Caenorhabditis elegans: one gene and its partners. The protein of the gene in region 1 interacts with the protein of each later gene in a pairwise test. Each region holds a gene or a part of one and is shown in the gene's direction. Other genes may lie near its edges.

What was found.
Region 2: the proteins of zyg-8 (region 1) and T21B6.3 interact in a two-hybrid assay, tested with the Caenorhabditis elegans proteins (one large-scale study listed by BioGRID).
Region 3: the proteins of zyg-8 (region 1) and Y57A10A.24 interact in a two-hybrid assay, tested with the Caenorhabditis elegans proteins (one large-scale study listed by BioGRID).
Region 4: the proteins of zyg-8 (region 1) and pdi-3 interact in a two-hybrid assay, tested with the Caenorhabditis elegans proteins (one large-scale study listed by BioGRID).

What each region holds. Positions count from the first base shown.
Region 1 is NC_003281.10:12,058,767-12,065,267, forward strand, and holds the start of zyg-8 (Serine/threonine-protein kinase zyg-8), read left to right. Parts: upstream 1-2,946; 5' UTR 2,947-2,972; coding exon 2,973-3,159; intron 3,160-4,158; coding exon 4,159-5,065; intron 5,066-6,087; coding exon 6,088-6,321; intron 6,322-6,501. UniProt on the Caenorhabditis elegans protein: Probable kinase. Kinase activity may be involved in positioning of spindle poles in meiosis and mitosis. Plays a role in spindle positioning during asymmetric division of one-cell stage embryos.
Region 2 is NC_003284.9:10,943,602-10,951,227, reverse strand, and holds T21B6.3 (Apple domain-containing protein), read left to right. Parts: upstream 1-2,275; 5' UTR 2,276-2,325; coding exon 2,326-2,383; intron 2,384-2,558; coding exon 2,559-2,639; intron 2,640-2,903; exon of another isoform or gene 2,904-2,967; intron 2,968-2,983; coding exon 2,984-3,070; intron 3,071-3,322; coding exon 3,323-3,550; intron 3,551-3,597; coding exon 3,598-5,315; intron 5,316-5,364; coding exon 5,365-5,495; intron 5,496-5,544; coding exon 5,545-5,601; intron 5,602-5,655; coding exon 5,656-5,761; 3' UTR 5,762-6,068; downstream 6,069-7,626. Other genes in the region: K09C8.7 (uncharacterized protein), read left to right, coding at 1-6, 88-188, 275-371.
Region 3 is NC_003280.10:12,240,375-12,248,928, forward strand, and holds Y57A10A.24 (EB domain-containing protein), read left to right. Parts: upstream 1-2,571; 5' UTR 2,572-2,620; coding exon 2,621-2,883; intron 2,884-3,591; coding exon 3,592-3,711; intron 3,712-3,815; coding exon 3,816-4,001; intron 4,002-4,566; coding exon 4,567-4,701; intron 4,702-4,901; coding exon 4,902-5,108; intron 5,109-5,767; coding exon 5,768-5,877; intron 5,878-5,937; coding exon 5,938-6,052; intron 6,053-6,541; coding exon 6,542-6,886; intron 6,887-7,079; coding exon 7,080-7,161; 3' UTR 7,162-7,255; downstream 7,256-8,554. Other genes in the region: txdc-12.1 (Thioredoxin domain-containing protein), read left to right, coding at 14-221, 1,246-1,598; tag-276 (uncharacterized protein), read right to left, coding at 7,948-8,028, 8,309-8,554.
Region 4 is NC_003279.8:7,014,802-7,023,331, reverse strand, and holds pdi-3 (Protein disulfide-isomerase), read left to right. Parts: upstream 1-2,541; 5' UTR 2,542-2,544; coding exon 2,545-2,775; intron 2,776-5,315; coding exon 5,316-5,541; intron 5,542-5,587; coding exon 5,588-5,711; intron 5,712-5,767; coding exon 5,768-5,881; intron 5,882-5,931; coding exon 5,932-6,231; intron 6,232-6,310; coding exon 6,311-6,539; intron 6,540-6,901; coding exon 6,902-6,978; intron 6,979-7,029; coding exon 7,030-7,195; 3' UTR 7,196-7,420; downstream 7,421-8,530. Other genes in the region: ubql-1 (Ubiquilin), read right to left, coding at 440-568, 677-984, 1,030-1,135, 1,258-1,350; chd-1 (Chromodomain-helicase-DNA-binding protein 1), read left to right, coding at 8,124-8,253, 8,398-8,530.

The sequences.
Region 1 (6,501 bases):
TAAAACCCTTAAAACTCGATTAAAATTCGCCCAAATGCTTTATTTTCAATGATTTCCCGGAAAAAATCGCAATTTTCAGATCTCGAACAACATACTCGGCAAAATCCATAGTTTAGAAACTATTTATAGGTACGTTGGAGAAGCCTTAAAAAAATGAATTTTAACCGATTTTTTCTCTTATTTTCTGCGGTTTTTACCTTCTGAAAGCCTCCCTCCGTGTGGAATTTGTAGTTTTTTTAAATTTTTTTCGCAATTTTCAAATTTTTCCATTCTGCAGAACATAACGTTCTTTTTCTCATCAATTGCTGTGAAAACGAGGAGGCTCTCTCAATTTCGCAACGAGATCCTTCCACGAGAGGAGGAAAACTGAGATTTAGTGTTCCCATGGAGACGCAGACAGACTTCTATCAACTCGCTATTCAGTTCAAAAGCTCACGAGTTTTTGCGGTTAAGCCGGTCGAAATTGAATATTAGACGTTAAAATCAAGGCTGGAAATTAGAAATTTCGCTAAATTGCCATGTTTTCAAATTTTTCACCAGCAGTTTTTCTGGAAATTTCGAAATTTTAGTTTTTATAGTTTTTACAATGCGAAATTGAACCAATTTTAAAGCATTTTTCTTGAAATTCGAAGGAATTTGCCACGAAAAATATATTTTTTATGATTTTTTCTAAAATTTTTATGTCAAAATAAATCGAAATTCGACTTTTTCGGGTTTTCACAGAAAAAAAACCCAAAAAATAGTCTCGAATTCGGAAAAAGCGCGAAAAATTGAAAAAAGCCAATTTTAAAAAAAATTTTCATTTTGGCTGTTTGAATTCGCGAATTTGAATTTCCCGCCAAACTTTTTTTCTAAGAAAATTCGAATTTTCCCCGTTTTTTTCAGAAAAAATCGAGAAAAAGTTAACAACACGACTAATCAGCATATTCAAACTCCGCCCACTCCATCTGATTGGTTGAAAAGTGGGCGGCGCAAATCGCTGATTGGCCGGAGTTTTAAACTAGAAGAAACTTTTTTTTCCGCGATTTTTTCATTTTCTTTCGTGATATTTTTGAATTTTAGACTATTTTTTGAAGTAAAATCCCCATTCACACTACCTCACCTTCAGTATCACGGGCTTCTGGCCTTCCTCATTGAATTTTTCGCGCTCCATTGACAATCGCCTGCCGGACAACGCGTGGGAAAGTCGTGTACTCCACACGGACAAATACATTTAGTTTTACAATCGAGCCGCGACGCGACACGCAACGCAACGTAAATCTACCCCAGATTTGGCCTGGCCTAGTTCGGCAAAAAACTCTTCCATTTCAATTTATGGAGGGAAGCCAGAAATCCGTGTAATATTCTTATCACAAACCGCACCTTTTTCGGCGGAGACGCAGGTGGCGCTGCACAAATGAGAAGCTGTTTAATTGGCTCTGTGGTCCCTCCGGATACCCCCTAACTAATCCCTCGTCTATTCCGTCCCCCGGCTCTGCGTTGGCTCGCGCGCGCCCCTCCCGTCAGCCAAATCAACCCACAACAACACCCGTCTGCCCTTTAGCTCTTTCGAATGAGAGGAAAACGAGAAGCAGCTCACTGCTCACTGCTCTCTGTGTGCACGCCTAGTTAATTCCCACATTCGACATTCCATGCATTTTGGAGACCAATGCTCGCGGACAGCTCATTTTGGACAATGATTCGAATTGTCAGCTAGTCATAGCATAGTAAAATTATCTCCTTTTTTTTGGTGTCACGTGGCGTCTCATTTCGGTTTGATCTACCTAGATCTACAAAAAATGCGGCAGAGTTCTCAACTGATTTCGCATGGTTAAGAACGTGCTGACGTCACATTTCTTTGGGCGAAAAATTCCCGCATTTTTTGTAGATCAATCCGTTATGGGACAGCCTGATGGAAATTTTGCTTCAAAAATCTTTAAAAAATCGAAAAAAAAAATTTCTCAGAAAATTTGAATTTCCCGCCAAAATTATTTTAAGAGAAAATTTGAATCCTCGCCAAAACAAATTCGAAAAAATAAAAAAAAATTTCCCGCCAAATTTTTTTTTCGGAAAATTTGAATTTCCCGCCAAAATAGATATTTTCCGAAAATTTGAATTTCCCGCCAAAAAAAAATTAAAAAAATTTTGAATTTCCCGCCTAAATAGGTTTTTTTTCTCGAAAAAAAATTGAATTTTCCGACGAAATAGTTGTTTCACAGAAAATTTGAATCTCCCGCCAAAATAGATATTTTCTCCGAAAATTTGAATTCCCGCCAAAAAATTCTAAAATTTTTAAATTTCCCGCCAAATTTTTTTTCGGAAAATTTGAATCCCCGACAAAAATTTTTTTTCCCAGAAAACTTTAATTTTGCTCAGAAAATCTCAAAAAAATTTGAATTTTCCACTTTTTTTTCAGAAAAAAAAATTGTTTTTCTAAAATAACAAAAAAAAAGATTAATTCCCGTCTATAGCACTTGCACCATACCCGATTGGAATTGTCCTCCTCGATTTTTAGTTCATTTTCTGTCCAATCTTTTGATTTTGCATTCCTTTCTCTTTTTCATATCCAAGGCCCATTCCGGTTTGATCTACAAAAAATGCGGGAGAAAAGACACAAATTTCTCAATTGATTTCGCATGGTTAAGAACGTGCTGACGTCACATTTTTTGGGCCAAAAATTCCCGCATTTTTGGTAGATCAAACCGTAATGGGACGGCCTGTTGCCACGTGGTATATCCCCACGTGGTGTCAGGCAGTCTCATTGCGGTTTGATCTACAAAAAATGCGGGAACTTTCCCCCAGGAAAATGTGACGTCAGTACACTCTCATTCGATGCTAAATCAGCTGAGAAATCTGCGTCTCATCTCCCGCATTTTTGGTAGATCAAACCGTAATGGGACGGCCTGACACCGCTCCGTCCTCCTCTCGTGGTTGCGCCTAACTATCGCTAATTTGGTGTTTTTTTTCGGTGTTAGACTATCTCTACTCGAACGATGCCACAAACGTCGGCGTGGCAGCTCAACGACACAACTGCTAGACCACCACCACCACCACCACCACCTGGATCTGAAGCTGGAGGATCGGATGGAGCATCTATGAATGGAGCCAACACATTGCCACGTGTATCGAAGAGGGTTTCCGCTGCTGGAAAAACGTCGAATATTCCACGATTCAAACGACGTAAGAATTGAGTGTTTGGCTTGAATTTCCCCGTTGGTGGCTTGCTTGCTTCAGCTTACGGGATATGGTTTTTTTTAATGATGAATCCGTGAATTTTGCAACAAAAAAGCAGCGTCGCACAGAAAAAGAGGCGGAGCGTAATTTTGCAACCCTGCGGCACGGTTTTTTCTCCTTTTTTTCTGAATTTTTTTTTTCGATTAATTTCATTTTTTTTACAACCATGAAATATCCTCACAATCTAATAATAAGTAAATTGGGTAATACTTTCATTCGAAAAAAGACAAATAAAAAATAGAGAAAAAACCGTGCCGCAAGGTTGCGAAATTACGAAATTACACTCCGCCTCTTTTTCGGTGCGATGCTGCTTTTTTGCAAAATTCACGGATAGATTGTTTAATTTCAATAGTACTGAGTTGAAAACTTGAAAAAAGAGACATTTTTATTTGTAAAAAGCTATTAAAAAATGATTAATACCGTCAGACTGTTGAAAACGATTTTTCCGGCAAATCGACAAATTGCCGGATTTGCCGGAAAAAAATGGCCCCTAAATTTTCCGGCAAATCGGAAAGTTGCCGGATTTTAAATTTTCCGCAAATTGGCCGATTTGCCGGAAAAAGCGGCCCCTAAAATTTTCGATTTTTCTATTTTCCGAAATTCAGAAAATTACCCATAAGATATGATTTTTTAAAAATCTAATTTTGTTTATATATTCATGATAAAGAACATCTAAAAATAAGAACAATGATCAAAGTTTAAGCGAATTTTTAAAAAATCGAAAAAATTTCGAAATATCGATTTTTCGATTTTCAAAAATCGAAAAAACCGACACCCTTGATCGTTATCACTATTCGAAAATAATTGAATCTAAAGAATCGAGATCCTGTAAATCTACACTACAGTAGTCATATAAAGAATTACTGTAGTTTTCTTTTCGCTACGAGATATTTTGCGCGTTAAATATTTTTTTGTGTTCCCGTGTAATATAATCCTAATTTCCAGCCCATCTCCCTCATTCGACACGTCCTCTCTCCGCAGTCTTGACATCATCATCATCTCCAGTTGTTCATAGAAAGATCAGTCCATCATCATCTGCTCCATCAACATCCTCCGCACATCGTCGATTCTCGCATCTTCCTCAACAACACTTCCACCATCATATTCATCACAATCAGACCGCAGTGATCAGTGAAGAAACACTGACAACTCCACGAGCATCGACTCTTAATCTCAATCAGACAAGCGTCTTCCCAACGGCAATTTCCCAGGGAAGCATGCCGAATAGTGGCACGAACACTGCGGAAGCGTCAATGACGTCATCCGTATGTGCCATGGAAACCGAGGGAACGAATGGAGATGAGCTCGCAGAGTCCAGGGATATGGTCTCAGAAATGCAGCGGAGGTGTCGAATCGGGCCATCCGGGTATCCGCATTTACTGAAAGCCAAGCGACTCCGGTTCTATAGAAATGGGGATCAATATTTCAAAGGGATTCAGTATGCTTTACAAAGTGACCGGGTGAAGAGTATGCAACCACTTATGGAAGATTTGATGAAAACTGTAATCTGTGACTCGACGGCTCTTCCACACGGAATCCGTCACATTTTCACGATCGACGGCGCTCAACGCATCACTTCCGTAGATCAATTCGAAGACGGCGGTGGTTATGTGTGTTCGAGTACCGACGCTTTCAAACCGGTCGATTATTCGAGAGCCGCCGAGCCAAGTTGGCGTCTGACACTTGCCAATCGATACAATCGACACTTGGAGACGAAGAAGCTGGCGTTGAGTGTCGTAGAGCCGTGTCATGAGAATACGGATTTCGTGTTTCCACGAATTATCAAGGTTATTCGGAATGGGGTGAAGCCAAGGCGGATTAGTAGGCATTTGTTGAACAAGAAGACGGCGAGGTGAGAGCAAAAAATCGCCCCGACCAATCAGCGATTCGCTCCGCCGCCCACTTTCCAACCAATCAGGCGACGTGGGTGGAGTTCGAAGGTGTTGATTGGTCGGGTGAAGTCTCATTTTGAAGGGAATTCAAAAATGATTGTTTTTTTCGCGTTTTTCCTATTTTCCTAAGGAAAAAAAAATTATTTTTCAACCAAAAAAAGTGGCGGCGATTCAAAATTTTGAATGAAAAAGACAAAAAATTCAAAAAAAAAATATGCGAAAGAACGAAAAATTCGAATTTTTCTGCGACCAATCAGCAATTCGCTCCGCCCATTTTTCGCCCAATCAGGTGAGGTGGGCGGAGTTTGAAGATGCCTAAACGAGAACTCCCGCCCACTTCTTCAGATTGGTTCAAAAGTGGGCGGAGCTAATCGCTGATTGGTCGCAGATTTTTTTTGAATTTTTTGTCTTTTTTCTTAAAAATGTTGAACCGTCGCAACTTACAAAAAAAAAATTTTTTTTCATTACGAAAATAGGAAAAAAGCGAAAAAAACAATCAATTTTGAATTCCCTCCAAAATGAAACTTTACCCGACCAATCAGCGCCTTCGAAACCCCCCCCCCCCCCCCCCCCCCACTTCATCTGATTGGTTGAAAAATGGGCGGAGCAAATCGCTGATTGGTCGCAGTGGGAATTTGTCTAAAATTGGAAAAAATCGGTGTTTTTTGTTTTTTTTTCGAATTTTTTCCCAAAAAAAACACAAAAACCCAATTTACACTGCGACCAATCAGCGATTAGCTCCGCCCACTTTCCAACCAATCAGATGGAGTGGGCGGAGTTCGAAGGCGCTGATTGGTTGGTGAAAATTCGGTTATATTCCCTCCAAAAAGAGAACTCCCCGCCCACTTCATCTGATTGGTTGAAAAATGGGCGCGGAGCTAATCGCTGATTGGTCGCAGTGGGAATTTTTAATTTTCTCGTTTTTTTTTTCAAATTTTGTCCCAAAAAAAAACTTAAAACCCCAAAAAAAAAAAAATTCCAGATCCTTCGACCAAGTGCTCCGTGACCTGACATTTGTCGTGAAGCTCGATTCTGGAGCAATTCGAAAACTATTCACACTATCCGGACGGCCTGTTCTCAGTCTACAGGATTTTTTCCGAGACGATGATGTATTCGTTGCGTATGGTGGAAATGAGAAAATGGCTGCCGATGATCTACTTGTGGCTTCGGAAGAGCACAAATCTGTTGGATCGGGAACGTCGTCGAATATGAGGAGGTTTTGTTGCGGCGATTTTCTGGTCAAAATTAGGGTCTCGACACGAAAAATCTGAGTTGAAAAATGTTTTTTAAAAAATCCATAGAATATTCTAAAAAATCGATTAAAAGTTTTAAAAATCGATGAAAATTTTAAAAAAAACCGATAAAAATAGAAAAAATCTTGAAATCGATGAAATTT
Region 2 (7,626 bases), on another chromosome or scaffold:
AATCAGGTGAGCTAGGTAAACATCAACAATTTTTATTGCTTAAAAATGTTTTTTTTTTTGAGAACATATAACATTTTTGCTTTGCAGGGAAATATACGGTCAGGAATAGTTCCTGATTACAACCCTGTCCCTAATGTCCAAGGAGGTACATTAGCTCCACACATTTGCGGATTCAACACTTTTACAAGGTACGTTAAGATTGCGTAAATTATTTGAAAAAAATATTTGAGAGAAGTTGACACTGACAGCAAGTTATTAAGTTTTTGTTCTGCAGAAAATGTATGGATCCTGAAGGATATTGCCCTGGCAAGTGCATGAACTTCCGTTACACCTACAACACTTTATACGACTGCCGATGTCTTGCGATTTAGATGCGTTTTTCTTTTGAATTTTGAGTTTGGTTTTCAGTTTTAAATGTTCACCCGACCCTCTGTGTATTTGTATATTTGTATGTATTTTTTCATTCCACATTGTTGCACATGTCTGGCTCATATGATTTGCGTATTCGTAATATAAGTGTAATAAATTTTTGTGATACGCTAAGGGATGATGAACGTAAAGAAAATGCTGCGGAAAAATCAAAAAGTGACACTTGTGACGTGGTCACATGCAGTCTGGGATAAAAATCAGAATATGAAATGAGTGTAAAATCTAATTTTTGTTTAAATTGGAGACTGAAAGTAGAATAAACCAAGAGAAGTGGCACATTGAATTTCGGGGGGGGGGGGGGCAGTTTTTTAAAATTACTTTCCGATAATTTGTACTCTCTCACAGTATTTTTGATTCTTACGGCTGCATAATTTCGATTGAGTTTGAAATTGCATTCAGCGTTGTAATGTGCCCAACTGCCAAAATGAGACGACTGGTTTTGGATGTATTTTTTTAATACTTACAGTGAAATTTTTAGTGATTTGATATATTTTAAATCATAAATTATTGTCTCCATAACTCCATTTTATTCACCCACAACTGGTAGTGATTAAGAATGAGCTCTTCACATTTTTTGTAATTCCACCTTAATGAGTCACCGCCTATCAATCATATAATCTTCATACTTGCTTCATTCCAAACTCTCTGCTTTGCTCTTGTCTTGCTCACTTCTCAGCAGAATCTCATGTTTCACCTGAACTTCTTCTTTCTTCGCTTCTCACTGATTCGTGGAAAAAATTGTCGCGTGTGCTTCCGTTGCCCATACCGCTTCTGACTTGCTCTTATCTTTTCTTTGCTTTTCTTTTTCGTTTTTCGCCTGACACATCAGCCACCAAGCTTTTATTAAAACACGAAGGATATGATTTGTTCATCAGCACTTGTCAGCAGCTCGCTCAAATTTCGACGTTTCGGATGCATGCTTTCCTGAAGTTTGCAACCTCGAAAAGCTCGCATGATATGGGTTTGTCAAGAAACCAAAAGTTTCGAGTTTTTGAGTCGATTCCTAGAATGTCATCAATCTCATCTTCGAACATTATAGTATAGTTTCCGAGCAACAAATGACCGCGGTGGACCTCCTCAAAGTGATTTTAAATTGAACAACTGTGCAATAAATAACGAGGATGAAAAATGTGTGCGAAATGTTGTGTTGTGTTGTGAAACGAAGAAAAGTGCCGAGGATAAAATATCACTCAAAGTGGAGTTGATGGATATGTGACGACATAGGGAGGAGAACTTATTTTGTTTAGATATGGGGTTTTAATACACCAAAAGACATATGAATAGGAACAACAAATTCCAATTTCAAACAGATTACCTATGAGAAAAGCAATTTTGTTTTTTTTTTCACTTGAAAGTTTGTATACTTTTTAAAATTAATTGTTTTTTTTTAATCTTTGCTACTTCCTGAAGGCAACATGACTTTCTGACCCGCACAGGTTTGCTCAATTCTGAATAATTTCTGTTTTGGTCTAGTATTTTACTCTTCAAGACTCGATCATAATCAATGCATACTCGCAGGCTTTGAGTTCGATTTGAAAACGTTCTCAGCATCCATTACTGCTTCCTGTTTCTCTCTAACTTTTCTGCTCACCGCACAACTCTTTTTGATCTTTAGCCTCACTTTTGGTTTGAGTAGAAGCGTAGAGCATTTTTCCTTAAAAAAAATAGAAAGAAAAGTTGATACCTCTCTTCTTTCCTATACTACAGTAGTATTTTCAACCCCCTTCCTCATTCTTTTTATCACTCCCTGATGTTTCAGCTTCTTCTTCTTCTTTTTCCTCTTCATCTTCTTCTTTTTCTTACCTCTCTTCTTGTTTCTCGACTCCGCCCAGTATCATCGTCAGTCACTTGTTGTGCACTCTCGTGTCCGCGGTCCCGTCCATTATCAGCCGCAACATGCAGGCTACTGTAGGCTTATTCGCCTTAGCGGTCTTGTTCTGCCTAGCCGACGCAGGTGAGTATATATGTTTATAGATGGAAACTGGTTTGAGGTTCAGCTTTCATTATGAGAGGGCGAGAAGTAAGGTGTAATAGGTAAAAAAATAAAGCATGAACCTCAAGCTTGTCATACACAAAAGGTATTACTAACAGTGAAGTTGATACGCAAGTGTAAGAAAAACAAGTTTCAGGTAGAATCTCGGTATCCAGAGGAAAAAATGTCACAAAAATTGATGATTTGTGCGCCAGAATGCACAACAACACTGCTCTTGGTAAGTTCATTGAATTACATCAGGTCATTTCCCCTGAAAAATTAATATTTTATCTCATCACTATAATTCATTAAACTTCTCTAGGTTTTAAAAACTGTATTGTTCTGAAAATCTTATTTTCCTTTTGAATATTATTGGTTTCTAATTAACATATGCGTTTCACTAAAAAATTGATACAAGTCATCTAAAAACTAGTATTTCTAAAATCATTGATGAAAAATAAATTATTGTTTTAGTTTCATTTATTGACAATTCACGCATTAGGTGTTTGCAGCAAAACAAACATAAATCAATTATCCGTCATTAACTTCGTGTGTGTCCACGTACCACTTTGATTATTTCAGAAGGATCATCTCCATTGCTGATGATGCAGGCAACCGCCTACGAGTGTCAGAAGAAATGCGTGGACATCTTCCCAGAGTGCTCCGCAGGTAAAATTTTCATTTTTGCACCGGATCCTATCCGGCCCAAGAAGATTGATGTGATGTGTCAAGCAATATCTATAACAAATGACACTCATCCGCAAATATCTCTTTTTCTGCTTCTTTAACTGATTGCTTTTGCAAATTTACACTGCCCCTCCTTGATTCGCAAAACTCCGTCTTCGAAATTTGATCTCTGCGTTTGGGGTCATGAAGACTAAAAAAACATTAACTTCACAAAAAAGTTCAACTTGTTTTCAGTGGTTTACTACTACTTGCATAACGAAACAAAGAAGCATTTCTGCTACCTCTTCTCCGACAACTCGGTTCAAGATAAAATTGACCTTGTCGAGCAAAAGCCAGAAAACAAGAAAGATATTGTTAGAATGCTCGAACTGGTCGTCGACTGCCACCAATTTGATGCTCATCCACCACTGGAGGAGGACGGTTTGGCTTCGTCTACCGATAAGGTTGACAGAAAGAAGAGACGTAAGATTTCGATCGTTACTTCGGTTTATATAAAGTTGTGATTTTAGAACAAGGCGATGAAGCTGTTGAAGGAGTCGGAGATTGGACAGATTGGTCCCATTGCTCCAGTAACGGACACGAGGTGCGCTCTCAGGCATGCGAATACGGAAGAAAAATCCAACGTCGTGGATGTCCAGCTAGATCTGCTCCACAAAGAGTCCCAGCTCCACCAGCGCAGCAGTATGCGCCACGTGCCCCAGAGTACCCAAGTGCACAGCAACAGCAGCAGCAAAGGGAACAGCAACAAAGAGAACAACAACACAGAGAACATCAGGCTCGTCTTCAGCAGCACCAGCAACAACAACAACAACAGCAACAGCAGCAGCAGCAACGTCCACCACAGCCACAGCCACAACCACAGCCACAGCCACCACAGCGACCACCACAACAGCCACAGTCCTTCTCTGGAACTCACGAGCTTCATCTTCAAAGGCAGAGAGAACAACAGCAGCAACAACAACAACAGCAGCAACAACAGCAGCAACGTCAACAAAATCCACAGCAACAGCCACAACAGACAACACAGTTCGGACAATCTCAAATCCAACTCCAAAGTGGGCCAGTCCCTCCACAACAACATCCGCAACAGCAGCAGCCACAGCAGCAACCAGAACTTGAGCGTTCTCCACTCGATCAACATGCTCAACTCTATCAGCAGAGAATGTCTCAATACCGCGAGAACTTCAATCAGAGACATCCAGCTCGTCCAAAGGCTGATCCATGCCCAGGAGGTTTCTGCGCCCCAGTTCCACAGGCCCCACAACAAGAACGCCCAACACCACCGCCAGTTCTTGCTCCAGTGATCAACACTGCCACTCAGCCACCACTTCCACAGCCCTACCCAACCAGATATCGTCCAGCTCCCCCACCACCGCCAGCATGCGATGGACAAGGATGTGTCAACCCACCAGTTGTTTCTGGAGTTTGGCATGATTGGTCTGACTGGTCTACCTGCTCATGCACCTGTGGAGATGGAGCTAAATCAAGAAGACGTGAATGCTCCACCAATAACTGCCAAGGAGCTGATTATGAGACTGAGCCATGTAATCTTGGCCCATGTCAGACATGGTCTGAATGGTGCGAGTGGTCAACTTGCTCTGCTAGCTGTGGATCAGGTCAACGCGAGAGAACTCGATTCTGTCATCTTGGTACAAACAGATGTGAAGGAAAGGACTACGAATCTGAGCAATGCAGTGCTGGACCATGCCCAGAATGGTCTCAATGGGAAGATTGGGGACAATGCTCTGTGACTTGCGGACAAGGAGTCGCAGTTCGTCAGCGTACATGTCTCGGAGGTGTTTTCGGTGATCATCTCTGTCAAGGACCAAAGACTGAACAACGTGCCTGTGATGGTGGACCATGCTCTCTTTGGTCTCCATGGCAAGAGTGGTCTACATGCTCGGCTTCATGCGGAAGCGGAATGAAGCGGAGACAACGTGTCTGCCAATTTGGAACTGATTGCCAAGGACCAAACGAAGAGAGCCAATTCTGCTACGGACCTCCATGTGCCGAGTGGACAGAGTGGTGCGAGTGGTCAGGATGCTCTTCAAAGTGCGGACCCGGACAACGGACTAGAACTCGTGGGTGCCTTGGACCAAACGGGCAAGAAGCCACTACTTGCCAAGGACCAAGTATTGAAACTACCCTTTGCGAAGGGCAATCTTGCTGCAACTGGTCTGAGTGGTGTCACTGGTCCATGTGCGACAAGGAATGCGGGGGTGGTCAGGTGAGATATATTGAATATATGTTCAGAACGGGGTAATAATGAATTACAGTCAATTCGCACTCGTACATGTTTGAACAGCGCTGGAAGTCCGGATTCATCATGCCACTGCGATGGACCAGATCGTGAAGAAAAGGAATGTAACAGTCAGTCATGTGCTCCTCAATGCGCTTGGAATACTTGGTAGTTAAAACTGTTACATTGGTATTAATTAGTTTTTTCAAATGTCCAGGTGCGAATGGAGTCCATGCTCAACACAACTTGCATGCGAAGTTGGAGTACAATCTAGGTCTGAAATAGTTTTTGATGAAGACATGTTAAGAATCTGAATTATATCTTACAGAAGCCGTCAATGTGTTGGAGAATCCGGATGTCACTGCATCGGTCTTGCCGAAGAATCCCAGCAATGCCGTGGATTGACTCAGTGCCCACCAAAGCCACCATGCTAATTTTTTGTGTTAAAAAAAATCAGTCAGACAGGGTTACATCGCCCATTTCTTTCATATTTATGTTTTTCAATTTGTACTTATATTCAATACTTTCATACAACACCGCCTCAAATAGTCGAATCTCTATATCTAGTCAATTAATTGTATTTTTCACGTCTTCCATTATGCAAATGCCTTTCAACGATAGGTTAAATTAAAGTTTGTTTTATCTTTGAAATTTATGTTTTAATAGCATTCACTGCCATAATTTGCATTTTCAATGTGGTTTAAATTTTTATTCTTAAATTCTACAATAAAGTTGTTTCACAGCCCATTGAATATAACATCAAAACATACAAGCCAGTTAACATTCAAACAAGCTTTCAATCAAAGTGTTGTACAGTTTCAGAAAACCACTCCTTAACACGAATTTTCATTAAAGTATATTGGTATTTATTAACCAAGTTTGCTGATTTATAGGTAAAACTAAAAATAGAATCAGATGCAGGTATACAATTATCAGTTGTTTAGACTGTCAGCAGAAGATAACATGGGATCAATGCTATTTTTAATTGTTATGTAGTATATGCACCCCTCCATTATCTAAATTATCTCCCCCTTCTAGGAGATTCATACAACTCATTGATTAAACATGATAGAACATATGTACTCGTTGTACTACAAGGGTGCAATACCCAATATTTCTTGTTGCCATCGTCAAAATCCTTCAAGAACAAAATCCTTTTCCTCGACATCTTCATTTGTGGCACATCTTACTTTCCATGTAGATCTTGAAGGATGTGTCAGAGTTTCCGATTCCTATAATAGTTTCTTTACTAAATGTTCCATATTTTCTTGCCCTATCTGAATTCAAAACAAGTTTCTCTTCGGCAATTAAAAAATTGTAATTTAAATTTTTTTTTTTCGTCACCTTTACTAGTGATTATTTTGATTTTTCCACCAGATTATTCTCTTAATGTGATGTTATAACATATTTTTCTACTCTCCTCTCGTGAAAGATTGACCAAGATCTCTTATGTACCCAATGTATTTGAAAAACGCCTATAAATAAATATGCATACATTGCAAACCGTTTGTTGTGGATTTTGGAGGGATGAATTATTTTTTGAACGTTGTTCTTCCGTTTAGCCCGTTTTCTTACAGGTAGTCACAAGTTACTCGCACAATATGGACCACCTCGTTGTATTATCGATTATTGGCCTCGGCGCGTCTATAGATTCGGTACGTACTGAAACAGTTTCAATATGCATAAAGAACATAAACAGTGTTACAAGTTAAAAAATATATAAATGATAAATTCTATTTTCAAACGGGTTTTTTCAGAAACGTGAGAAGAAAAATATTAGCGTTGGAAAAAAGATCGCATTCATAAAGCTTGGTTATTTTTGTACATACAGATATTTATTTTTATATTTTCAGACATCATCGTTATTGTCCTGAGGACAGGTTAAGATCTTAAACGTGATTCCCAAAGTAATATTTATTAAATAATAATAGCAAATACAAGTTGGTTGAATGATTGACTGAATGATTGAGGGGTGCTGCAAGAGGCCAAGAAATAGTCTTATATACGGAAGAGTTGATCGAATTATGTAAATGATGGGGCGACGGCGGTCATGAAATGGAAACCGCGGGAATAATACCGCGGGAATCATAAAACGGGGAAATCAAAGAGCGAGCGATTTGACATCGTTTTTGTAATATTGACTTTGGTTAATCAAATTATTTTTCCTTCCAGGCTTCCATTAATACATCATACCAGAGAGTTTGAATAATTACTTTTGAACTAATCGCTTTCCTGTTATTAGTACTTTTCTGGCCGAACAGCAAATGAACGCGTTTTTGTGAAGACGTTCGACTTCTAA
Region 3 (8,554 bases), on another chromosome or scaffold:
CCCGTTGTTCCAGATGAGATCCCTTCTCCTCTTGGCACTTGTGAGTGCGTCGGCGTACGCGAGTTTCGACAAGATCAAGGATTCTATTCAAAACCCATTGGCACGTGGATTTGGTGACGATATTGCGTGGGTCAAGTGGGAAGATGCAATTGAGACTGCTTTGGATACTGATAAGCCAATCTTCTTGTTGATCCACAAGTCTTGGTGCCATGCTTGCAAAGGTAAGAGCGGCAGTTGAGAAAATTTAGGCAATTTCTTATAATACGTGTGGTATCACACTGTCCCATCACGGTTTGATCTACAAAAAATGCGGGAATTTTTTGCTCTAAAAATGCGACGTCAGCAGGTTCTTAATCATGCGAAATCATTTGAGAACTCTGCGACTCTTCTCCCGCATTTTTTGTAGATCTAGGTAGATCAAGCCGAAGTGAGACACCCTGACACCGCGTGATTGATTACATGCTTCACTAATAATTTGAAATTTAATCATTTTATTCAACAAGTTAGTCCAATAGAGCGCACATTCACATGTCCCTTCCCCACTGCAGCTTCGATTTTCTCTCCGGGTAACCGACCAAAGACAAGAAAGGAGAGGGATTTATTCATCCTTGACACACTTTTTTTTATTAATTCAAAGAATGGTGTCAGAACACCTTGTAAACCACAAAGCTTGTACATATAGTTTTCAAGGGAAAAATCGGGAAATTCAATTGATATTTTTCGAAAATTGCAAAAAAAAACGTGCAAAATTTTGAATTAAGAAAAATGCACATTTGTACAAATTTTGGGAAATTCAAAAATTTTCACGTGATGGGACCCGTGTGTGGGCGAACCACAGTTTAAATTTGATGTAAAATAATATTTATAATTTTTATGACTCAACATTTGAAACTTTAAACATAATTGTATTCGTTTAAAAATTTGTGAAAAAATTGAAAATTGGTTTTAAAAAATTTGAAGTTTAAATATTTCAAGTCCAGAAAATCCAATGCGAGAAAAAACCTCAAAATTTTTTTAAAAATTCCAAAAATTATATAAAAAATTATTTTAAAGCTTTCAAAAATTCAATAAAAATTCCAAACAAATTCCACTAATCTGAAAAAAGGATAAAATCTATTGGGGTCCTAAGCCTAAGTTTGAGCCTAAGTCTAAGTGTAAGGCTACGACTAAGCCTAAGCCCAAGCTGTAGCTTACGTCTAAGCCTAATTTTTAAATGTTTCAATTTCGAATTTTCAAATTTTCCAGCTCTCAAGAAGACCTTCCAACAATCCAACGCCAAGAAAGCCTTCAAAAAGCTCTCAGAGCACTTTGTAATGGTTAACACCGAAGACGACGACGAGCCATTCGAGGAGGAGTACCGTCCAGACGGAAAGTACATTCCACGTCTGCTTTTCCTCGACAAAAATGGAGATCTTCTTCAAGAATTCAAAAATAAGAAGGCCGAATACAAAAATTACGCGTATTACTACTCATCACCAGCTGATATCCTTAACTCTATGAAGGATGTGCTTAAACATTTTGGAGTTGACATTCCAGAGGCTAAGAGAGGTGATAAGCTTAAGCCAAAGAAGCCAGAGGGAAAGAAGAAGGAATTGTAAGAATAGAGATTGTTTTATTGATTTATTGATTGATTTTCAGCTAATTTATTTCTTATCATTTCTTTGCCAATCTTGTTAACTATTATTAATTATTATCACGAATAAACTGGTTCTCGATACGTCGGTTTTTACGAAAAATTTAAATTCGCGCCAAAAACCTTTTCGAAACCTCGAAAAAATTTTAAAAATCTTATGAAAATTGCATTTTGTGCCTGAAAATTTTTAGCCAATTTTTTAGAAAAAAAAAAAGTTTTAGGAAAATCTGTGACATTTTGAAAAATTCAGGAAAGTTTGAAATTCCAGCCAAAAAACTTTTGAAAACTAATTTTTTGAAAAAACTAATTTTTTGAAATTTTTGAATTTTGCATTCATTTGAAATTGACTTAGGCATAGGCTTAGGTCTAGGCTTAGGCTTAGTCTCAGGCTTAGGCTCAGGCCTACGCTTAGACGTAGGCTTAGGCTTTGGTTTAGGCTCAGGCTTTTTTCGGTGATTTTAGAAAATCTGAAAAGCTTTTTGAAGTTTAAATCTGAACAAAATTTTTTTTGTTTGAAAAAATTTATAATTTCATGAATTTTTGAATTTTGCTCTCGATAATTGTTTAATTTAAAAAAATTCAAAAAAAATTTGAATTTTGCCACAAAATAGGAGATTTAAAATACACCGCCCACATATTGGTTCAAATCTAAATCAAGGCTTTCATGGGAGGCAGGCGCGGTTTCAGGGCCTGACGCCTGTCTGCCCGCCTGCCTTCCGCCGCGGCCGACACTTTTCGGGTTCCGCACTATACAGAAGGCCCGAGGCAGGTGAAGGTCGCCGCAAGGTAGGCACACCAGGCCTTTTGGCGCCTACATGGAAGGATTAATCAAAACCAGTTTCCTAAGGGATTAAGAAACTTTCTCTCCTTCCCTATATTTGAGTAGTTATGTAAACATCCTCATATTCAGAATATGTCACGTCTCTTCTCCAATGTTCCGAATTATTTTCCTCTTATACATCGTCGGGTCATTTCTCTACCAGCAATATGAATTCGCAGTTTGAATTTCGAAATTTAGTTCTAAATTCCCAATTTCTTTGGATTTTTCTAATAAATCTTATCACCTCTGCCAATTCTGAAGCCCTAGCTTCTCCTTATCAGTATCTGAAGGATCTTTGCCCTGTTGGACAGCTTCCACTAACGGATACGGAGCACGTGAAGACGTGTGCAAGCTTATGTCCTCTTGGAGCATTTTGTCATAGGGGTATATGTTGTGTACCGCCACCGCAGTGCAGGCATCCGGCTTATAGGTGAGGAAATTTTTTTTTGAATTTTGTGTTAAACTTCGCAGATTATATATTGTTTTTTGAAAACAAATAATTTTATTTTACCGCCAAATTGTTTTTAAATGTTTTCAAATATTTAAAATTGGCGCCAATTTTTTTTGAAGTTTTTGGAATATTTAAGTTTGGCGCCAAAATTGTTTTGCAATTTTTAAATAATTTAATTTGACGTCACAATGTTTTAAAATTTTTAAAATATTTAAATCTGGCGCCACTTTTTAAAATTTTTTTTAAATATTTAAAATTGGCGCCAAATTTGTTTTGCAAGTTTTTAAATATTTAAATTTGGCGCCAACTTTTTTTGTTGATATTTTTGAATTATTTAAAATTGGCGCAAAAATTGTTCTGAAATTTTTTTAATATTTAAAATTGGCGCTAAATTTTTTTTGCAATTTCTAAAAAATTAAATTTAGCACCATTTTTTGAAATTTCTTTTAATATTTAAATTGGGCGCCAATTATTTTTGTTGATATTTTTGAAATATCTAAATTTGGCGAAAATTGAAATTTTAAAATTTCTGTCAAAATTATCAAAAAAAAAAATTATATCAAAAAAATTAAAACTTGAAGCTTGCCCCAACTATTTTAAAGATTCAAAAACTGAAAGTCGCGCCAAAGTTGCTAAAAATCTGAAATTTTGAATTTCGCGCCAAAAATATTTGAACTCAAACTTCAGGATGTCTACCGGCTTTCCATGTCTTCCAAAACGTAAGAATAACTGCCCAGATGGATCATTTTGTGTATCAAGTAGTCAGGATGGAATGTCGATATGCTGCTCAAACAGGAGCATTGAAAAGTTGGTGATTTTAAGCTCCGCCCACTTCTTGGTTTTCTGGGAGAAGAAGACCATTCTAAAATAAAAACTATAACTACAAATAAAATAAATCCATATTTTTACAGAAGTTTCCCGATAACATCACAATTAAAACTCTCCAAATCTGCACCGTTCCCAAAGGAAAAGCCGATGCAAAAATCCACGTCATCACTGATGACGTCACTAGACTCCTCCCAAATCTGTCCGAAATCCCATCCAATTATTGCACATGATGGGAAATCTCTGGTTTTGTGCAAGGATTGTGTTCAGGGGTTAGTTTTGGACTGCGTTTTAAAAATTAAAAAATTTATTTTTAAACGAAAATGTTACCTAAACTCGAAATTTACAATTTTTGCACCAAAAAACTGGAGAAAAATTTTTAGTGCCCAAAAAAATTATTTTTGAACATTTCAAATTTTTTTAGATTTTTCAGAAAGTTCACATAATATTGAAGATTTTGATTTTGTAAATTTGAACAAAAGCATAAAACTGTTTGTATCACAAATTAAATTTTTTTAACATTTGAACATTTTGGGTCCCACCACGATAAGTTTCAGAACCGATATTTTCCTGGAAACTGTTATAGAAAAAAAGTAAAAATTCAGATTTATTTCGGGGTACCCCGAATTCAAACAAAATATCATAATATGAAAAAAATTTTTAAATCAAACGTTAAATAATATTTCGAATTTTTGGGTCCCACCACAAAAGCTTTTTTGCCGAAAATTTTGTGAAAAAAATTGGCAAAATTGTATGTATGATGCTTTAAATTTAACATTTCAACTAATTTAAAAAAATTAAATTCGAAAATTTTTTTTTCAAATTCTATATTTTCAGAGTTTGCGCAAAATTCCGCACCAGTAACGTAGAGGTATGCTGTCAAAGTTCTGACGATATTTGTGGTGTTGGAAGTCAAATTTTGATGAATGGATTGGTGCCGAGGGACTGTAACAAGAAGCCATGTGGGATGGGGTAAGTGAATTTTACAGCTCAAGCCATGCTCTTAAAATAGCCAGGAGCTAATTTTTTTTGCTCGAAACTTTCCGAAAAACATCTAAAACTTGGAATCAATTTTTTGATTTTTTGAAAATTAAAGTTGAAATTTCACAAAAATTTTTAAACATTTTCAGAACTTCTAAACTAAAATTGCACCGCAAATTTCAAATTTCCAGCTACGAATGTTCGCTAACCCCGACGGGTCTTCGTGTATGTTGTTCGTTAGCCCAATGCCCGTCAGGAGTGTTTGCGAGAAGTGTGTGCGCAGCCGGATGTTTGAGAAATGAAAAGTGCATGGAAATTCAGAATGAGATGTGGTGTTGTCCATCCGAGGAATCATTCGGTTCAAGAATTGAGATGGTTTGTAGGAATGGGGAGAATGGGTAAGTTACTACATTGTACTGTAGTACTGTATACTGTATAGTGTACTGTTGGGGTACTGTAGCTCAGTTTCCGTTTGTCAAAAATTATCAAAAAATTTAATTCAGTGTTTATCATCCAGAAAATAGCCTTAATATACCGAGTATAACTGTAGAAAAATTTATGGAATTTCTCTAAATTTTTCTAAATTTTTAACGATTTTTTTTCAATTTTGCAAAAATATTTGATTTATAACACTAAAAACTATTCAAATGCCAGAAAATGGAGCCGTAATGACCAAATATATCTGGAAAATTTTTAAATAAATTTTCTAATTTTTTAAAATGATTTTTCGTCAATTTTTAAAAAATCTAAGAAACGGCCGAATTAAATTTGAATTCCCGCGCAAACCATATATTTCGGCCGTTTTTTAAATTGTTGAATAATTGAAAAATCATTTTAACAAATTCGAAATTTTTTTATTAGGTGCTTCTATTGAATTTTTCTACAGTTACATTCGGTATATTGAAACTATTTTATGTCATTTAGAGCAAAAAAAACTTCCAAAAATTTTATTTCCTCGAGTTTTTTTAAAATTTCAAATGTACTTGATTGTCTAGATTACTGTAGAAATGCTTATGACTCAATTACAAAAAAATCCCAGTATTGATTCTTATTCCAGAACCGGTGAAAAATGTGACCCAGCTTTTCCGGCGTGCTCACAAGGAGCATTTTGTGAGCTGAACAAGGAGAAGACCGCCCATATTTGCTGTAAGCGGTATAAAAATCGACGTGAGTATTTTATTGCTTAAACCTATAAAAACTAAAATTCAAGAAAAAAAAAAATTTCAGTCGGCAACAGCCGTAAAACCCTTCTACCCCCTCCATTCTACTACACTACAACTACTATGAAGGCTCCCATAACCATAGCCACAACTACTGCAGAACCATACCCTTTTGAATCTGTGTAGGTTGCTTAATTAAAGGCAAAGTAGCGCCAGAGGGGAAAGTGTTTAAAACTACTCCATTGGTGTCAAAATGATCGAATATCATTTTAAAAAATTTCAAAAAATTTTTGAAATTTTTTTATTTATTATCAAAAAGTGACAATTACTCAGTTTTTGCCACTCATAATTTTGGAAGTCAACCAAAAAAAAATTTTTTTCTACATTTTTTATACTGTAATTTTTTTTTAATTATTTGTATTAAAAAATTGTAGGGGTTGGAACATGCGAAATTGCTTTGGATTTCCTCAAAGGCTCATATTTTTCAAAATGTTTGCAATTTTCCAAAACTGACCGGGAATAATGAAAAATCTAAAAATTTTTGGACTGTTTGTTAATGATATTTGGTCATTTGAAATAATTTTAAGTGTATTTAGACACAATCCCCACTGGCGTTACTTTACTTTTAAACCATCAAAGGTATCTTAATCATATCTTAATATTTATTACAGTCCAAACTGCCAAGACCCTGAAGCCCGTCCACTCATGGAAAACGGCTTCCCATACATTTGTGATCATATCGGAGATCCGTGTATTCTTCGATCAGGATATTCGTGTCAAGAATCTGATATTGATGATGTCTATGTGTGTTGTACTATTCAAATGAACCGAATCCTTCCACCACAGATTCCAATGATTGGGCCATTTACGTTTATGACGTCATCAACTACTACAACTACTGAGAAGCCGATTGAAGAGGAAGAAGTGATTGCGCAGCCGACATGCCCATTTTCATATATGCCGTCGAAAAATGTTAATCAAGATGTGCAGCGTTGTCTATCACTGTTTACGTTGGAGTGAGTTCCAGAAAAATAAAAAATAAAAAATTTTTTTCGATTGTTTTTTGAAACTCTAAAAATCAGTATTATCTTATTATCTTTATCCAATTTTTTAAAATTTTTTTTTAAATCGGAATTAAAAAAATTCTAACATACATATATTGTTGAAAACGTTTAACGTTCAAAAATCGATATTTTAAAATAATTCCAGCTGCCCACTCGGCTACACGTGTCTACCATCTTCCACTACCGACAGTTATCTATGTTGTATTCGGAAGCCTGTGGTCTATTAGGCTTAATTATTGATTTTTGTTTTTTTTTTCGAATATTTGTGCCAATTCTATATTTTTTAAATATTTTTTTAGCTAATGAACATGTTTTCAAACAGTTTAATTTAAAAACAGCCTAATACAAAAACTTGGAAAACTAAGCCTAAGCCTAAGCCTAACCCTAAGCCTAAGCCTACACCTAAGACTACACCTAAGCCTAAGCCTAAGCCTATGCCCAAGTCTAAGACTAAGCCTAAGCCTAAGCCTAGGCCTAGGATAATGAGAGCATTTTCAGACTGCTCTATAAAGCCAAACAAAGATTTTGCAATAATTCATAACGCATTCGATTCACAATAACAAGTTCTTTAATAAAACTATAAAAATGTAAAAAGTTAGGAGTCAAATTTTTATTTATTTAACACTGAAAAATTGGAGTGTGTAGATAATGAGAGCATTTTCAGACTATGTTTTTTCAGAGCTGACGCCAAGCTTATGCCTAAGCCCAAGCCTACGCCTAAGCAAAAGCCATAATTCTGAAAATCTAAATTCAAATGTTAGCATCCAAGTCTGGGCTCAACGGTCCAAGCCTGAAAGCTTAAAAACCTAAAGCCTGAATATTTTTGCAAACATAAGTAAACTGAATTGAAGTTTTATCTGTGATGTACAGTTTTAATTGACAAGAAACATTGCAATCGGGATTAGTTTTTTTGAAAAACTGGATAATAAAAATGAGGGAAAATTAGTTGAAAACACAAGAAAATAATGACAGATTATGAAAAATTGGCAACGAATATAATAAGTTTGGTAAAATTATACGACTGGGGAGGAAGAAGCCGACGATTCTTCGGATGAAGAGGAGCTTGATGGTGACGTGGATGATTGTTTTGTAGTCTGGAAAGTATTAGTTTAGGTGGTTTGGTCAGGTTTAGAAATTTTTTTTTAAATTTAATTTGGTGCGAAATTTTATTTTTATTTTTCAGGCCAAATTTACGGCGCAAAATCGGTGTAGATTTTTTATTTTGAAATTTTTTTAAATTGCAATTTAACTTAATATGTAGGTATTTTAAGTACAAAAATAATCGAAAATTATTTTATTATTTTAAAAATTGAGTTCGTTTTCAGAAAATTAAAAAGTTCTCAGCAAAATTTTAAAATAACAACAAAAACTAACCTTGGAGAAATTTTCCGCTTCCTTTTGCAAATCCGCAAAAATATTGAGCACATTGGCGAAGAGCACCTTGTTCTTCGAAGCCTCCCGCATCTTTTGCTCCACAACATCCTGCTCCAACTCCTGAGCAGCGAGACGACGAAGCTTCTGGAGCAACAAGTTGACTGGGTACTGGTACTCATACCGTCCATCATACTGGCTCTTGACAATTTGCTCGGTACGGCATTCCCGGAATACTCGAATCGGGCA
Region 4 (8,530 bases), on another chromosome or scaffold:
ATGTACCCCTGATATTAAAAAAAAATTAGCAATTTTTTGCCATATCAATTAAAATAACAATTAATTACTTTTAATAGTCATATTTAGACATTTAGATCGGCATCCTTGATCGATTTTTTAAAACTAAAACTGAAAAATCAGAATTTTTCGTTTTTCGATTTTAGAGAGAAAAAACCGACTTTTTCAATTTTTAAAAAATGGTATTAAATTTTGGTAATTTTTCTTTTTTTTAGACAATTGTTAGATAACATTAAAATGTCTTCGTATGTTTTTTGTCACCAACATATATGACACAAGTTGTGTGTCACACAACTTGATAAAAATCAAATTTTATTGATAATTTTCTGGACTTTTTTTCTTCGATGTTTCGATTTTCGCTGAAAACATTGAAAAATTGAAAAATGGCATCCCTTGATCAGCATAGCTATATATAATGTACCTGAAGATTCCTAATAGCTTGATCATGATTCCGCATCATTTCTTGGAACATATTTGGATTACGAATCATCTCCATAGTTTGACGCATTACATTCGGATCGTTGAGAATGTGTCCAACTTCTGGATTTCTCTGAAAATATTTATTGTCGATATACGAGAGAAATGTGGAAGATTAAAAAATTAAATAATTTTTCGAATCCGAAAATTTACAAAACAAATATCCAGGAAAAACTCGAACCTCAATCAATGCTTGGAATTGTGGGTTGGATTGAATAATTGTTCTCATAAACTCTGGATTTCCTAGAAGTTGTTGTGTAATTGGATTATCCATAACTGAACGCATAGCATCTGGATTGTTTAAAATATCAGCAGGTGATCCCATTCCTCCCATTGCTGCAAATGGATTATTGGTAGGATTCGGTTGTGAAGAAGGTGTTGGATTGGAACTTGGTGCAGATGAAGCTGTTGGTGTTGCAGCAGCCGGCGCTGGTGTTGGACGGGCTTGATTTCTAATAACCAAGTGGACGGTGTGACCATCAGCGATTTCTAAATTTTTGTTTATTATTTTTTGGAACACATTTTTCAACTTACTGTGCTGTGTGAGAGTTTCTTCATCCTTCAGAATTTTTCCGGTGTAAATTATACAAACTTGTTCTTTGTTCGCAGTTGGAACGAACACAAGAACCTTGTCTTTTAGCTGTAAAATATTAATTAAACACTGTGATTTACACATTTAATTTATCAAAATGGAATAATCACTTGAATTTTTATCTAATTCTCAAGAGCAAAATTTTATTTTTTAAATAAAATATAACATACTTCTGAAACTGATGCATCCGCAGCAATCTCAACGTCATACTTGTTCGACGGTGATTTCACGTGAACTTTGATGAGTGCACTCTCTGTAGCCATCTTAAATTTGAGAAATATTAAAAAACCGACAAAATTAAATAAAGAAAAAGGATTGAGAGAATGAGAGGCGGAGACGGAAAAGAACACGTTGCATCGATAAATCGAGAATATTCTCGAAGCGCAAAAAGAAATTTCGCAACTATTTCAGACCGAATAATGTAATAATGTAATGGGTCTCTTCGATAGAAAATAAACGAAGATAAACGAAGACACAATTCTTCCTGACGCGCGAGCTTCAATATGCACGTGATGACTAATTTGGTTTCCATGGTGATCTTTTTGTTCCTTTTATCGATTCAAATTTACAATAAAAATAAGAAATTAAAGTTCTAAATGGCGCTCCAATCAATTTGCCTTCCAATTTAACGTCGATTCCTTCTATATCAGGTCATAAAATGAATAAAAAACAATGATCAATAAAATGATGCGGTAGTTGCGTAAATCGACACATGATGGTCGCCTCTTCCGTGCGAGACCCATTGGGCGGAGTTCTCACAAGAATGAGGCCAATCGGCACACAACACGCGTGCGACAGGCAGTGAACGACGTGTTTTTGGCTCAGTTCCTACCAATCCCTGGTGTACACACGAGCGCCACGTGGACCTTAACAATTCGGGTCTATTTTTATGCTTCTGCTCTGCATTTTCTGGATTATTAGTAATAATATCATTAAAAGTGATATAACGCTCCCCGAGTCTATATAAAATTTCTCCTCCATACAACACATGTTTTTTGGCTTTCTTCTTCTAAGCTTAAAATTTATAGTTATTTACTAACTGTATTTTCCACTTATTAAAGATAATTTTTGAAAAGTGTTTGTAAATACTTAAAATTGAACCCGAAACAATCTGTATTTGTCCATTCACATGTGATTCACAGAAAAGAATGAAAATAAATGCGAAAAAAAAATAAATAAAGTAAAGGCGCATTGATTTTACCGCTCGCGGTATCTCGCCACGAAAACACGTTTCGCGTCAAGCGGCTCACGTTTTCGATGCGATCGCGGTTTGTTAATTGCGAAAACACCTTCCCTTCTCTTCAATCGTTCGCTCAATTTCTAGAAAATATTTCTGAATAATCTGAAAACCTCTAATCTTGTTTCTTAGTTTTTAACTTTTTGTCGGTGTTCCCGATAATCTCTCGCCCTCTAAACTCACTCGATCGATTGTCGTTTATAGGTAAAGTTTTTAGGTAATGATTTGGGTCCAGGCAGCTTTGGTCGCCTCCTTCCTGGCGTTCGCCAGTGCTGGAGGAGCCGTTCTCGAGTATACCGACGGAAACTTCGATGATCTCATCCAAACCCACGACATTGCTCTTGTCAAGTTCTACGCTCCCTGGTGCGGACACTGCAAGAAAATTGCCCCAGAGTATGAGAGAGCTGCCCCAAAACTCGCATCTAACGATCCACCAGTCGCTCTCGTCAAGGTAAGATAACCATACTTATTTACACAGCCATCGCTCATATATCGATCGCAGTGACACTGACAAATACGCGAAAGCTGATAAAACAGCAACGAAAGCCACATTGAATAGAAATATATGAAATGCATACAAAGGATTCTTTGAATTTATTGTTCTAGTCCTTATGCATATAGAAACATTTGTCCGTCATATATATTATGTATGCTGGTCCAAAATGGTTATTGTGTATTCAAAAGGCCATTGACAATGAGATCGGCTCGACATTTACATTTTCCCACGCATCAAATCACTGTTTGTTGTCAGGTCTTTACTCTACAGAATACGGACATCAATTAACGATAAGAGCAAAAACACCAGTCGCGTAGCAAACAGTTTTATCTATACCACAAACGAGTGCGATATGGTAGTAAATGAAACAAAAGATTATGTTTTTGAAGTTGAAGATTGTAAAAAAAAAGAAACAAAGATTTGAACCACGGTTTAGTAATAGGAATCCAGCCCCCCTTTAAGAATTCTCAGTTTTGAAACAGTAAATTCAATATTATCTCGAAAACGATCTATCACATGTGCATTGCCATAGAGAATAGTATATGTTTGAAATTTTTGAAGCAGTAATTGACAGACTTTTTCAATTAAACATTTTACGGTGTTCCTTTTGGCAAACAATTCCTCTTCTTTTCACGTGTATCTTTGTAAAATTCTCGAAATCTCTTTCCCAGTGTTATCCGAAAAAAGGCGGAGCTTGCCGCAAAGACCCAGAAAAATGGGCGTCACGCTCAAGTTTTCGAGAAAATATAAGATCCACCTCCTTGCGTTGTACGGCTCTGACACATTTTCCGGAGTTTTTTCAATGAAAAGAGGCCATAAAACTTCATTTGACCGACTTCGTTGTAATTTCGTGATTCTAAAATTAGCAACGCATGTTATCGTTAGAAAACAAGTAGTTAGGGATGGTCACCAAGGGTGTCAGTGTCCCGTAAAAATTACAAAAACGGGACAGTGGGATGTCCCGTTCCCGCGAAAACACCCAAAAAACGGGACAACGGGACATCCCGTTCCCGTGAAAACGCTCAAAAACGGGACAGCGGGACGTCCCGTTCCCGTGATAATTTTAAAAACGGGACAACGGGACGTCCCGTTCCCGTGAAAACACCCAAAAAACGGGACAACGGGACACGGGACTTGACACCCTTGATGGTCACCAAATCATGTGCTACACAGCACCCTAGATTGCGGGAGCCGGCCCTGTTGTCGTGAAAATGAAAATGTTCTCCAATTTCAATCAGTCGATCATGTTTTAATTCGAATTGAAAATATGATATTTAAAGCTAATTTTAAAATGCTTGAATTAGCTTGCATTTTTTTAAAAGTTGAATTTCAATAATTTAAGTTTTAATATCTCTGAAAAGGAATAGGATGATGCATGTGAATGAAATACTGATTTCTCTGCCAATATCGCATCCAAGAGAGTCGATCAAAAATTAGTGATGCAGCCTCTAATAGACTTGCCTGAATAGTTTCAAAATTTTCAAATATATTCTTTATATGTATTTTTTCAACTGCGTCATATAGTTTCCAAAGCTAAGGGTCATTCGTAGCTTAGTCTGGCATGTGACACTAATAGAGGTAATTTCAGTATCCTAATAGTAAGAATCAAAAACATGACCGAATACTTTTTGATTAATTCGATCGTTTCAAGGTATTGGAAAGATTTCATCGATTAGTTTTATTTATTGGACGACGATAGTGACGATCACATAGTAATAACGTGGGTGTATTATAATAATGTTGAAAGAGCCTGTTCAAATCATTTTGGTTGACACATCTTGTTTATTCACTTCTGCAATATGACGAAAAGTGCAGCGTTGTGGCCATGTTCCAATACATAATCAATGGATTTCTGAATCAGGGGTGTGCGGCAAATTTGCCGAAAATTGCCGACTTGCCGAGCTCGGCAAATTTGCCGATTTGCCGAATTCGGCAAATTTGAAAAAACCAGCAATTGCCGATTTGCCGAGCACGGCAAATTTCAAAAAGGTAGATTTGCCGAATTTGCCGAGCTCGGCAAATTTCGAAATTTGCCGCACACGTCAAAAATTTTACAGTACAATTTTGAGTAAAATTATTGATTTTTTCGCCAAAAATTTAGTAAAATGACACAAAATTGAGTTAGTTTTATGCTTAAGCAGACATACTACACGGAACTAATTCAGAAACCAGATGTGTGTTAAGAATTCGGTAGTTTTGGTGTTCCAAAAAACATCAAAAATTATCAAAATTTTCCGAGTTTGTTAAGCACGGCAAATTTTGAAAAACCAGCAATTGCCGATTTGCCGAGCTCGGCAATTTTTTCCATTTGCCGCACACCCCTGTTCTGAATCATGGTCTCGCAAAGTATATCCAAAGTTTGAAAAACATTTCATGGTGTCGTAACTTATATTTCAATACGTTTTGTGACTTTACAATATTTATTGCATTTCACATAGGTGAATGAACTCATTATTAAATACGCATATGTATTTCTCTCATTGTTTTTTTTTCAGGTCGATTGTACCACCGAGAAGACTGTTTGTGACAAATTCGGAGTTAAGGGATTCCCAACTCTTAAGATCTTCCGCAATGGAGTTCCAGCCCAAGACTACGATGGACCACGTGATGCCGATGGTATCGTTAAGTTCATGCGCGGACAGTCGGGACCTTCTTCCAAGGAACTTAAGACCGTTGCCGAATTCGAGAAGTTCACTGGTGGAGATGAAAATGTTGTCATCGGTTGGTTGATTTATTTCTTGGCTTTTTTAAATTTAATTATTTAAAGGATTCTTCGAGAGCGAAAGCAAGCTTAAGGATTCTTATCTCAAGGTTGCTGATACCGAACGTGATCGTTTCTCCTTCGCTCACACTTCCAACAAAGACATCATCAAGAAGGCTGGATACTCTGAGTAAGTACTAATTGTGAATTCGCATGTTCCTGATAATTTAATGAGCTATTTTTCAGTGACGTCGTTGTCTTCGTTCCAAAAAAGCTCCATAACAAGTTTGACACTAACGAGTTCAAATATGATGGTAACTACGACACCGATAAGATTAAGAACTTCTTGGTCCATGAAACGTTAGTCATGATTAAATTATTGTGCTTGTAATTAATTATCATATTTTAAGTGTTGGATTTGCCGGAATTCGTACTCAAGGAAACTTGTTCCAATTCGAGCAAAAGCCAATCGTCATTGTTTACTACAACGTTGATTACGTCAAGGATCCTAAGGGATCCAACTACTGGCGCAACCGTGTCTTGAAAGTTGCTCAAAACTATAAGAGAAAAGTTCAATTCGCCGTTTCCAACAAAGAAGAATTCTCTTCTGAAATTGAAACCAATGGACTAGGAGAGCGCAAGGACTCGGATAAGCCAATCGTTGCCATTCTCACTAATGAAGGAAAGTATCCAATGGACCAAGAATTCAGGTGTGTTAAAGCTCTGATATATTATCAGAAAATAATTTCAATGTTTTTCAACCGATATTTAATATAATAATAATTTCAGCGTTGACAATCTCCAGCAATTCGTTGATGAAGTTCTCGCCGGAAATGCCGAACCATACATGAAGTCTGAGCCAATCCCAGATGAACAAGGAGACGTTAAGGTTGCCGTTGGAAAGAACTTCAAGGAACTTATCATGGATGCTGATAAGGATGTGCTCATTGAATTTTATGCTCCATGGTGCGGACATTGCAAATCATTGGCTCCAAAATACGAGGAACTTGCTGAGAAGGTAGAATTTTTTGTTACATAAAATTAATACGACGTATTGTGAATAAGAATTCGCAACAGTTGGTTTTTTTTAAACATCTTCCCATAGTTCACATTTAAAAAGTTTATTTTTTACTTATTTTGAAACACGAATGTGAGAAAAACTTAAAAATAAAAATAGAAGTTAGCATGCAAGTTATTTTTTACATAGTAATTTTTTATTTATTAAAGTGCTTTTGTGATAAGCTTTCTGAAAGGTTTTTCAAAAATACAAGTTAACTTTAATTAAACTTTTTTAAATATTTAAGTTTACACTGGGAGACACTTAAAGTATTCAGGCTTGTGATATAATTTGTAAAATACTTTCAAATTTTGTAATTTCAGCTCAACAAGGAAGATGTTATCATTGCTAAGATGGATGCCACCGCCAATGATGTTCCACCAATGTTCGAAGTTAGAGGGTTAGTAATTTTATCCAATGCTGATCCTGAATTATTTGTATAATTTTGCAGATTCCCAACTCTCTTCTGGCTTCCAAAGAACGCTAAGTCGAACCCGATCCCATACAATGGAGGACGCGAAGTTAAGGATTTCGTCAGCTTCATCTCAAAGCACTCTACTGATGGGCTCAAGGGTTTCAGCCGCGACGGAAAGAAGAAGAAGAAGACTGAATTGTAATTGGATAATTATAGAGAATTTTTATCAAATCCCTCCCTCGTTGTTTCCCTTTTGTAATTTATTTATTTATTGTTTGCAGCTTCGACTAGGGTTCCCAATCGAAGAATTTTCAACTTGACGGTTGTTTCACGGTTTCTTTCTTGTTTTATGATGTAAAAAGGACCGTTTGGTGCCTTCATTATGGCGTTTCGTACGCCTTTTTTGCCAATAAACCTTCTGGTCTCTAATATTTGAGTTGTTCTCACACAAATACATGAAAAGCATCAATGTGGGAGGCTCTATTCTGACTAAAAATGCAAGTTTGAATTCGCGGTTAGAGTAACGAGCACTTTTGATCGCGAGCGGTTGCGTCGCGGTTGTGAGGTGTTCATGGCTGGGCGATTCGCTTTTTTCTGAAGTGCGCATCTCTTTTTGGACCGATTTCTTGGCTCACAAGCAGAATTTTTCGATTAAAATGTTTTCTATAGACAGCTAAATTTAATTAGTACCCTTTTCAGTTAAAAAAATATAGGAAATTGCACCGGAAAGTACTATTAATGGGCCTAGTGCAATTGTTTTTTATTCCGATGTTAACGGGGATCTAGTACCGTATTTAACAAATTGCACATACTTTTGAGAATTTTTGAATTATTTTGATGTTATTTTATTATAGTTTAGTGATGTTTGAAAAAAAAGTTTTTTGATTTTACGTCAGTGATTTCATTGATTTTTTTTTTGAATTTTTTTCCTCTTGTAAATATAACGGTATCGGCGCCAAAATGAAATAATTTGAATATTAATAAGATTGTTTGCTAAAATTAGCTAAAATAGTTATCAAAATAGTAATATTTATGAATATAAATATAATCGAACAAAATTTTGCTAAATTTTACCGTCTTTTTGGAATTTTTACGGGGTTTTTTGTTGAGAAAAAATAAGAATTTCAGATATGTGGAATCAGTCTGAATCATCATCTGGGAGTGATGCAGAACCTGATGAGAAAACAGATGAACCTGTGAGGGAAGAAGAAAATCCTGAAGGAAACAGTACCAGTGAAGATAATGATGAAAAAGAAAAAGGTTGGATATTAACTATTTTCAGAATTCATCAAATACATTTAAAATCTTAAGTATCTGAAATTTTGTGAACTACAAAAAAGAATGTTACATTACACGAATACTATTTTAAAAAAATAAGTTATTTTTATTTGACTCAATTTCCAGCTGCGGATTCACCTGAAAGTTCTTCTGATCAAAGTGACGACAGTGATGATGCTAGTGAAAACTCATCAAGTTCAGAACCAGATGAACCTGCCCCGAAGAAGAAAAATAATAATAATCGGGGGATGGATGCAGA